Linked DNA regions of Tribolium castaneum. The protein of the gene in region 1 interacts with the protein of each later gene in a pairwise test. Links are inferred from orthologs where the notes say so. Each region holds a gene or a part of one and is shown on either strand. Other genes may lie near its edges. The genes, in order: NC2beta, Taf11 and NC2alpha.

Region 1 (2,669 bases):
TTCTAAAATATCATGCTTGGGTAAGCGCACTATTTGCGATAATGATGAAAAAATCTGGAGAATTTACTTACACGAGTTCATTCACATAACCTCAATGTACGGCAGCTTTGCGCCTTTTTGTATCTCTAGTTTGCTTATCAAAAAAACTATTTTTGTATTAAATATAAAAATTGTTCTGCGGTTACGTGCTAAATGGAAATTAAATAACTTTTTTTCTATTAGAAAATGACATTATCTTGGGGATATTTCAATGAAAAAAGTGTTGCCAAGATCAAAACATGGCAAACATGTTACGTTGGCACTTAGTTGGCGCTTAGTTTTAAAGGTTTTTTTTCCATTTATTTAATAATTATTTTTATTACTTAATTATTTACAGGGACTACATTACCAAGACTGTAATAATGAGTGTTTTTCAGCGTTAGGAAATTGGTTATTTTATCCTGTTTAGACTTCGTACGCATAAGATTGCAGATGAATAATTTTCTTGTAAAAAACGTTGGGTCACTATTTATTGAATGTTTGTGGTTGATACAAAGCCTAAATCTAAGATATTAAAAAATAAATGAAAACAATAACAAAATATTTAAAGCGTTTAATAAATCATTCGTAATCATCATCATTGTTTGGTAGAGCCGAAGCTTGGGCTTGTGCCGCAGCTTGTAGTTGCTCCCATTGCTGTTGCTCCACAAAAGCCTGCTCTTGCCTAGCCTTGGCGAACAACTCCTGCTGTTGTCTCAACAACTCCTCTTCTGGTATTCCCAAATTTTCTAACCTTGTGCTCTGTCGCCTGCGTTTCGCTGCAACAGCCTTACAGTCCTTAAGAACAGCTTCAGCTTCGGTTTGATAATCTCCAAAACCCAACTTTTCTAAAGCTGCGAAAAACTTTACTTTTGTGTTGTTTAACAATGATGAAACATACCCATCAAAACGTGTTCCGCATTTATAGTCTTTTTGTCCAATCGATTACATATTTCGTTCGCTTCAGAACTAAGCAAATGGATAAATTCCGTACAACAGTTGAGGATTAATTCCCTTGCTTCATTTGCAACTCGAACTGATGGGACTAACTCCTTTATCATTTTGTTAATGCTAGCCCGAGGCAAAGTCAGCTCATCGTCTTCGGTATTTGTTAAACCACCAGCATTATTTTGATTAGACATTGTAAATTGTTATATTTATCAACAAAAAAGAGATATTTAACCTCAAATAGGGACAGCTGGAACAATTTGACATGTCAAGGATAATGCTGTTAGAGTCCGCGAAATGACAGATCGTCATTTGTGTGAAGACAGCTCCCAAAACCAGCTCCTCGAATTTCCGAAGAGACCCGAACATGAAGCCAGTTTCAGACTAGCAAAATAAGTTTCAGTTTGCTTAGATGTATGTTTGGTTGTCAGCTTTGAAACCGTTTAATAAAATAAAAATCCGAAAAAACACTAAACACCCTCTTAAAAATGACATTTTAAGAAAGTCACTATGCTAATAGCGAAAAACTCAATTATTTACCACAAATTGCTTTTTAATTTTTCCCACTTTTTCACCTAATTTCAATATTTATGGCTCCGCAAATGCATTATTGTAGTTTTCGCCCCATTTCACCCCGAAATCGGTTTTGTCACACAATGCCCTTTTGACCACTAATTCAACAATAAAAAAGACGTTTTTTAAAAATAAAATTATGGCCTTTTAGTTGTCGGAACAATGTTAAAAATTGTTATGTTGCCCAGCTCCGCAAATGCACTGTTGCAGTTTTCGCCCCATTTCACCCCGAAATCGGTTTTGTCACACAATGCCCTTTTGACCACCAATTCAACAATAAAAAAGACGTTTTTTAAAAATAAAATTATGGCCTTTTAGTTGTCGGAACAATGTTAAAAATTGTTATGTTTTCCAGCTCCGCAAATGCACTATTGCAGTTTTCGCCCCATTTCACCCCGAAATCGGTTTTGTCACATAATGCCCTTTTGACCACCAATTCAACAATAAAAAAGACGTTTTTTAAAAATAAAATTATGGCCTTTTAGTTGTCGGAACAATGTTAAAAATTGTTATGTTTTCCAGCTCCGCAAATGCATTATTGCAGTTTTCGCCCCATTTCACCCCGAAATCGGTTTTGTCACATAATGCCCTTTTGACCACCAATTCAACAATAAAAAAGACGTTTTTTAAAAATAAAATTATGGCCTTTTAGTTGTCGGAACAATGTTAAAAATTGTTATGTTTTCCAGCTCCGCAAATGCATTATTGCAGTTTTCGCCCCATTTCACCCCGAAATCGGTTTTGTCACACAATGCCCTTTTGACCACCAATTCAACAATAAAAAAGACGTTTTTTAAAAATAAAATTATGGCCTTTTAGTTGTCGGAACAATGTTAAAAATTGTTATGTTTTCCAGCTCCGCAAATGCACTATTGCAGTTTTCGCCCCATTTCACCCCGAAATCGGTTTTGTCACACAATGCCCTTTTGACCACCAATTCAACAATAAAAAAGACGTTTTTTAAAAATAAAATTATGGCCTTTTAGTTGTCGGAACAATGTTAAAAATTGTTATGTTTTCCAGCTCCGCAAATGCACTATTGCAGTTTTCGCCCCATTTCACCCCGAAATCGGTTTTGTCACATAATGCCCTTTTGACCACCAATTCAACAATAAAAAAGACGTTTTTTA
Region 2 (4,365 bases), on another chromosome or scaffold:
ACTAATTTCTTTACTCAATTAGAGCACTAGAACTATTAATATTTACAAGAAGATAAGATACCCCGGACGTATGAATGATCTAATTAATTAAAACAATTGTGTGCATTTTTTCGTTATTAGAATACATTTCAGAGTTGATGTCACGTAACGACAATTGAAAAGTGGTCTTGGATCCGTTAAAAAAACAATTGTAAGTTTTGTGTTAGTTATTCGTAACAGTAATAACAAAGTGGTTTAAAACTCACTAATTACAACAAAAGTGGGTGTCATTTATTTAATAAGAAGTCGTAAGACTTCATTGCAGAAAGTGAATGAAATTTTGGTAATAAAAAATTAAACTAATCCGAATTAAATTATTATTTATTTTACATTGTTAAGCATCAAATTAAACAGGAATAAAAATCTGAATTTGTGCAAGTTTAATTAAATTTACCTAATACAAGTCTTAAGTAATACTCAAATCTTAAGAAAATTGCAAAAAACGGAATAAATTCCGTGATATAACGAAACCTTACTGACAGAATGTAACGCAAAAGGCTTCATTACTTTAAATAGAATAAACGTGAAAAGTAACAGGATAGATAGATAACAATTGGGAATAATTATTATGTCATTTTCATATCTTTAACGTATAGATTTTGCCTCCGACTTGAGTTATAAAATCGGCAATGCTCCTAGTTATTTTTTAATTACGTAAATGAGTATTAGTGAGCAAAAATGTGATTGTACAGTGACAAAGAATGATTTTTCTAGTAGTACTGTATTTAAAAATATGTCAATTGAGACTTTATCAAAAAAAATAGATTCATCATTGATCTGAAAACGAAGGGCATTTAGAAATATTGTACATTGTTTGTTTAAGTTTGTTTTTTTAATTTACGACGTTGCAACTTTTAACTCAAAAATTAAAAAAACTTAAAAATTGGCACTTAATAGGCAAATGGGCAAAAACAAAAAAAGCTTTTAGAAAAATCTTCTAGTTTATGATTTATTGTTTTTTACTGCCATTTCCTTACTCATATCTGTTTGCTATTTAAAAATATTGTTAGAGGCGACCAATTGTCTTGAATTTATTATTTATTATCGGTTTTTTATTGTAACAGTAGGGCACAGAAAAGAAAAATTTTTTTCAAAATTATAATCTTAGAACTTTTGTTTAACTGCGACCTAAAATTTCAAAGCACGGCTCCAAGACAATTTTTTATAACTCTTCAAATTGATGTTTTTTTCCTGTTCTTCGCTAAACCAAAAGGGCATTTTAAAAAAAATAGGGAATTAACTTTTTTGTAATTTTACATAGTTATTTTTTTTACTTTTTACATAGTCCACAGTGCAATGGTTCGTTAGACCACTATTCCATAAAGAAAGTCTTATCGAGCGTAATAATTAATTACACAAATACTTACATGTTTGATTTTTTTTGCACACAAAAAAAGAGTTTGACATTTCTAAGTCTTTGGACTGTTTTACTAATTTTTTAGAGTGACACCACTGCCGGAAAGAGGTGTGTAAGCTTTTTCGTATCGACTTCTTTTGAATTAATCAAAAAAATAATAATAAATTTACAGCTTAAAGAGTGCTTTAAGCAGTGGCAACTGTAGAAAAAAGTTGTTAATACGTATTTTCACGTTATTTGAGCTTCCGAATGTATTTTCAATCTCGAGCTGATGGTCTCAATTGTCAACTAAAATTTACCATAATTTTAGTGGTCAAGGCACTTATCTTCACAAAAATAAAAAAAATTAAACTATTAGACGTAATTTCATTGGAAAGCTGTCTGGTTAATACTTAAAAAAATCATAACTAAAAAACTATTGGGAATTTGGAGATTTTCTCGGCGCCCATCGATTCCTCGGATCATTTTACATAGGCTTAGACCAAAATAATTCCACATTTTCGAATAGTTTTGGTGTAATAGAGAAAATAAAAAAAATATTTTTTTGAATTATCCTCACCTTCCTCCACAACCTCTCCAACAAAGACCTTGGCAATCCCAGCCATAGCAATGACCACATTCTGGGAAACAGAACACCCTGTAATCGTCTGCATCAGCCTTTTAATTGCAGCTTTGGGAAACGCCGACCTCCTGTACATCTCATATCGATCCAGCTGATCCTCGGTGAAATTCGAGACTAGAACCCTTACAACAAACCCTCAGTAAACCCCACTTTACACCAACTTACTGCATTTTCTCGCGCTCTTCCTCCTCCATCTCCTTCCTAGTCTTCACCTCTTTCTTCTTAGCCGGAGCGCTGCTACTTTGAGGGGCTTCCGGCATTATTATATCCGACTCCAGGTACACATTTTCTTCGTCTTTGATGTGAATTTCAGACGTGAGCTGGGTCTCCTCGACTTTGACTGTCTCCACAGTGGAGTCGTCGTCTTCGTCCATGGACTCGTAGTTGGGGTCAGCTTTGATGATTTGACTCGTGGAGGCTGGAGGTTTCGCAAAAATGTTGTCCATTGTGTCTTTTTTTCACATTATCTATTTATTTTTTTGGAAATGAAGTAAGGTTATGTGTTAATTTTGACAGAAAAAATGAGCGATCGCTGCTCCCTCTACTGGTAGTTCTGTAGTTCCGTGCAAATCTGAGGTGGCGCCAGTGTCAAATTCCAGTCAATATATCACACTCATATTTGACAATAATTTTGTTTATTGTGTGTAAAATAAGGCGAAGTAAATGAAACGATGAATTTCTCTCGAGTTTGAGGCCCAATTCGCAGTGATAAAAATTGTGATAACGTGTCGGGTCGATTCGTCGCGGTGAACGACACAAAAACGCTTTTTTTTCGTTGTTTTATTGCGGGACCAGTTAATTCGCAATTAACCGCTTTTGACAATGTTCTAGTGTGATAATCGTACGAATTTGGCAACAAAATCACGTTGTAAGTATCCCAGTTGGTGGCTTTTGTTTGCTGGATGACAACTGTCAAAATGTCAAATCGGGCCTGGAGCCCCCTTGATCACCCAAGCGTCCACAGCATTGTGTGCGAAACCGTTAGCTGGGAACGCTTGGAAAGGCACGAAATTGTGGCTATTTTGAATTTTTTCACGCAGGTGCTCGCCGACTGCACGCAGGGGGCCTTAGAGCGTTGGATGGGGCTTGCTGTGCCCCAATTTTCTTGCACTGGCTCCCACTTCAACCACCACCATTACCCCGCTAAACCAAGAAGGTGAGTCGCGATTCCACGTTTAGATTATTTCCCTGAAAAAATGCTCAGTTATTTGCTACAATTTGTGGGGACTTCAAGGGTCACAAGTACCTAAAGTTTTTTTAAAATTATTTAGATCTATTACTTAATTTTGGCCACCCCTGCTTATGACAACAGTTATTAAATGAAACATTTATTGATTAATTTAGAAAATAATAAAATTACAAACTTTGACCTGGGGACATATTTGTAGCACACAACTTCTTTATAATACAAGTTATCTTTCGAAATTTCTTTTTTGTGAGACTTCAAATAAACTACTATTAACTGCACAAAATGTTAGGTGGGATATTGGTGATTTACGGCACGAGCCTAGCGAGTGCTGCATGAATTGCGAGTTAGGTACAATTTTTTTTTTGTATTATGTATAACTTTTCGTAAATAAGATGATTGTTTCTACGTAGCGATACGTAGTAATAATAGATGTTGATGCAGAGCAAAAAAAATATTTGATTATTTTCGATTTTTGTATATCAAACAGTCTTACCATTAGCGGAATTGCCCCTCGCCAGACTTATTAAAAATGAAAGAAACAGACTGGTGGGAGCTGTGTAAAAGGGATGAAAATTTACAGCAGGTGCATAAAGTTCGTACGGTGGGAATTGGGGATGTAAAATTGCACGAGAGCTAAGTGCACATTGCAGAAGAAAAACGAAAATCGTAAAGTTTGTCGGGACTGTAGAAATAAACGTCAGTGTTATTGCTACTGAAAAGGGGAAAATCTATAAAGCTTTATGTGAAAGGTTTCAGATGCAATTTTCGTGAAAGAAAAAAAAAACAATAAGATGGGACGAGACATTTTGTACTAATTATAAATCGGAGTTAATTGATATTGATTTTTTACACCCACACAACAAATTTAATTAATTTCCGTCACAGAATGAATTAATGTTTGGTTTAATAAGTTGCGTTTTAAATGTTTGGGATGAGGTCGGTTTTTTGTTGTTGCATTGTTCTTTGTTTTGAACCGTTTTAAATAAATTACCGATCAGGTGATGGACATTGCATGTCGGTTAATTAACTGTTTTTCCAGTTGTTGAGAGAACTGTCTATAATTTTTTGCATGAATCATATACAGGTTGTTCCAGCTATGACTTTCTCAAGTTATATTTCTGTTATTATTATTAATATGTGGAAATTCCTCAGATTTAA
Region 3 (3,398 bases), on another chromosome or scaffold:
ATATGTTAATAAATCAATGTTTATCAGCATTAAAAATTCAATGACCCTTTGGACAAGTTGTGGAATTTAATTTTCTTCCCCCGAGTGTCAATATATCGGACAAAATACGTCTACACTGGACATGTCGAACGATGGAAGTAAAAAAAAACACAAATTAAAAAATTCAACTTCGGTTCGGTTTTCCCAGACTGATAAGTCGTTCATAGTCTAAGAGTGCGTTTGTATTATCTAACACTTGTTAAAATAGAATTGAAAAGTCTGTAATTAACTTATTTCCTTTATTTATTCTTTCGAATAGGTTTATGTAACAAATGTAAATTGTAGTTACCTTATTTAAGTTTTAACAGTGTAACTAATCGCCCACTTACAATTTGCAATATTAAGAGTAAGTCGCCTTGTATTATTTTCCATAGTTCAAATTATATGCGCCGTGATGAGAACTTGTGCCCATAATAATGTAAAAAACAAGATGTAATAATTTAATGACTTTATTATTTAATTTCTAACTTATATAAATAAAAGTAACGATTGGCAGGCTCATGAGGTCCTTCAGAGGAGTTAAAAAAGTAGTTGTATGTATATAAGGTATTGATTATAATACTTTAATATTTTTAAAATTGTACATAATGTACTAATGTATTTTTTTACCCAATACAAAACGTTTTAATAACAACTGTATATTTCACTGTTAGGTCATCGGAAAAGTCGTCAGGTAGGTAGTTACGTTTACTTGATACAAATGAACTGATAAATCGGTGATAAATATAGAACAATCTAATTATCATAATCTTCATCAATACACAGAGTGTCTTCAGTGTTCTGATTGTAATAATGGTGTGAAATAGGTATAAGAGGCGGGATATTGTCGCAGTTGACTGGCGGCGTATTTTCTTGGACACTATTAGCGGGCCCCCTTGTTGGTACTAAAGGGGGCACAGGTACGGGTTCCGCCACCGAAATGCGCACTTTGGGTCCTTCCTTCGCCGGCTCGATCAAATTATTAACTGAGAAATTGAACTTTTTCGTCTCTACTTGCGCTACTTTAGGTCCATACTGGATAACTGGTGTTCTAGCCGTGGACGTACTCTGCTCTGTGTAAAAATTCGCCGTTACTTCCGGCTTCGAAGCCTCCACTGCTGCCGCAGGCTCCTGTTTTGACTCGGCCTCCTGCAGCTGTTGCGCTTCGAACATCAGGTTGTTTTTGTTATCTTCTTGTGCACTTGCATCAGGGATATTTTTCACTAAGTCTTTTAAAAAGTCGAAACGACTCTCGGATAATATACATTGCTTCATGTGGGACGGAGTTAAAGTCTTGGCGTTGCGGGACTGCGTTATTTGCATTGACTTCGTCAGCAGCGACTCCACAAACAACTCCAGCGTTCGGGGTAAGCAGCGTTAAGGAAATATTACTAAAGTGAAACCTCAGACTTGTTTTCATTTTACGATCACCACTGAGCTGATAAAATTATATCTGTATTTTTTATTGCAATAGTGGCTACGATAAGAGAGTCAAAAAAAAAATACTTTTGTGAAGCCCTAACAGTGCGTGCGAGACAAACGCAATTAACTGCTTTGCACAAACGTGAAACACTCGCTTAAATTAAATAATAAACAGTCAAATAATTAAAAGGATATAGATTATAACTGGTACAGCTTGTGCCACTTTTCCAACCTCTTCATCAGTCTGCATTATTTTTTTAATACGGCCCTGAAAATCCCCCAATTAAATAAGGAATTTCCAAAATTTGGAACGACTTACTGCTGGAAATCTGGCATTGTATTTTTTCTTTTTTGAAGGCATATCTAAAAATCTTTGATTTCGTTTCAATTTGTCAACAATCACTTTCTGAAAAATGACAGTTTGAGGTTATATGTTGTTAGGGATTTTTTGCACACTTGTCAAAATAATTGTCACTTGTCATTTTTTCCTGAAATGGTGGGAAACAAAAAATGAAAATAATTTCACAATTTCTTGAATAAATAAGTAATTCAACCGTTCATTCCACTTGCAATTACTTATTCAATTGTTAAGATCAAGATTGGGACAGTTTTTAATTTGTTGTGTGGAATGGGGCCCACGGACCGTGTTGTGGTTCTGGTGGACATGGATTGTTTCTATTGCCAGGTTGAGGAGAAGTTGAACCCGGCCTTGGAGGGCAAACCGATCGCCGTGGTCCAATATAATGCATGGCAAGGGGGCGGGTAAGTGGGCATTAAACTTTGGTCTCAACTTGTTTCTCTCAGCATTATAGCTGTTAATTATCCGGCTCGTGACGAGGGGGTTACGAGACACATGAGGGGCTTTGAGGCTAAGAAGAAGTGCCCGAGTATTAATTTGGTGCAGGTTCCAGAACTAAGAGGAAAAGCTGACTTAACCAAGTAAGTGGTGTCACATGCTTTTGTAACCAGGTTTGTGAAAAAATTGTTATTTTTAAGTGACACACAACCACAAAAAATAAAACCTTATGCTACTAAATGCTTATTTTTATTAATACTTTTTAGTATTATGAAAATTACATTATTAATTATAAGTGGTTTATATTAAAAAAAATTGTAGATATCGAGATGCGGGAAAAAGGGTTGCGGATGTTTTGCTGACTTTTACACCTCTGCTTCAACGTGCTTCAGTTGACGAGGCCTACCTTGATATCACGGAAATTGTAGAAAAACGGATTGAAAAAGGCCTGGATGATTTAACTTTAATTAATCTAAGTAACACTTTTGTTGTGGGTTGCGAACTGGAAGATTTTCTTCATAATGCTATTACTAACAAGGAATATTCCATTCCCAATTTAAAACTGGCAGTTGGAGGTCTTGTGACTGAAGAAATTCGACGCGAAGTTTTCAAAGTTACTGGTATTAAGTTACTGTACCAAATTTTTGATTTTATTTATTGATGATTTAGGATACAAGTGTTCTGCAGGCATTGCTCACAATAAAATCTTGGCAAAACTAGTCTGCAGCTTGCACAAGCCCAACAAACAAACCATTCTGCCCCAGGAAGAGGTTGAGAAATTTTTTGAAACCACCCCAATTAATAAAGTGAAGAATTTGGGGGGGAAATTCGGGCAGACTCTCTCGGAGGATTTTCACGTTACAACAATGGGCCAATTAGCCAAAATTCCAGAGAAGCTTTTGGTGCAAAAATATGACGAAAAAACTGGGTATCTATGACGCAAAAATGTCTAATTTAAACTTAAAACTTAAACTAAACAATATTTTAGCAACTGGTTACATAATATTGCCCGAGGTATTGATATGGAACCTGTCACTACAAAATTAATCGCAAAATCCATCGCTTGTTGCAAAAATTTCCCGGGAAAAACTGCGCTTGTAACGGAGGAAAACGTGCAACACTGGCTGGGGAAACTAGCGGCGGAAATGTCGGAACGGCTGGA

The links.
Region 2: the proteins of NC2beta (region 1) and Taf11 interact in binary tests that used the Drosophila melanogaster proteins (3 or more experiments, as listed by UniProt). The link is inferred for Tribolium castaneum from reciprocal best matches to the Drosophila melanogaster genes NC2beta and Taf11.
Region 3: the proteins of NC2beta (region 1) and NC2alpha interact in a two-hybrid assay, tested with the Drosophila melanogaster proteins (2 studies listed by BioGRID, with this or other methods). The link is inferred for Tribolium castaneum from reciprocal best matches to the Drosophila melanogaster genes NC2beta and NC2alpha.

The regions. Positions count from the first base shown.
Region 1 is NC_087398.1:1,910,230-1,912,898, forward strand, and holds NC2beta (protein Dr1), read right to left. Parts: upstream 1,280-2,669; 5' UTR 1,161-1,279; coding exon 920-1,160; intron 873-919; coding exon 601-872; 3' UTR 578-600; downstream 1-577. UniProt on the Drosophila melanogaster protein: Bifunctional basic transcription factor. Activates transcription of DPE (Downstream Promoter Element) containing promoters while repressing transcription of promoters which contain TATA elements.
Region 2 is NC_087394.1:5,383,732-5,388,096, forward strand, and holds the start of Taf11 (transcription initiation factor TFIID subunit 11), read right to left. Parts: upstream 2,893-4,365; 5' UTR 2,465-2,892; coding exon 2,184-2,464; intron 2,141-2,183; coding exon 1,956-2,140; intron 1-1,955. UniProt on the Drosophila melanogaster protein: The TFIID basal transcription factor complex plays a major role in the initiation of RNA polymerase II (Pol II)-dependent transcription.
Region 3 is NC_087394.1:32,793,334-32,796,731, forward strand, and holds NC2alpha (uncharacterized protein NC2alpha), read right to left. Parts: upstream 1,891-3,398; 5' UTR 1,802-1,890; coding exon 1,760-1,801; intron 1,709-1,759; coding exon 1,636-1,708; intron 1,386-1,635; coding exon 775-1,385; 3' UTR 582-774; downstream 1-581. Other genes in the region: PolH (DNA polymerase eta), read left to right, coding at 2,069-2,202, 2,245-2,379, 2,558-2,856, 2,906-3,164, 3,225-3,398.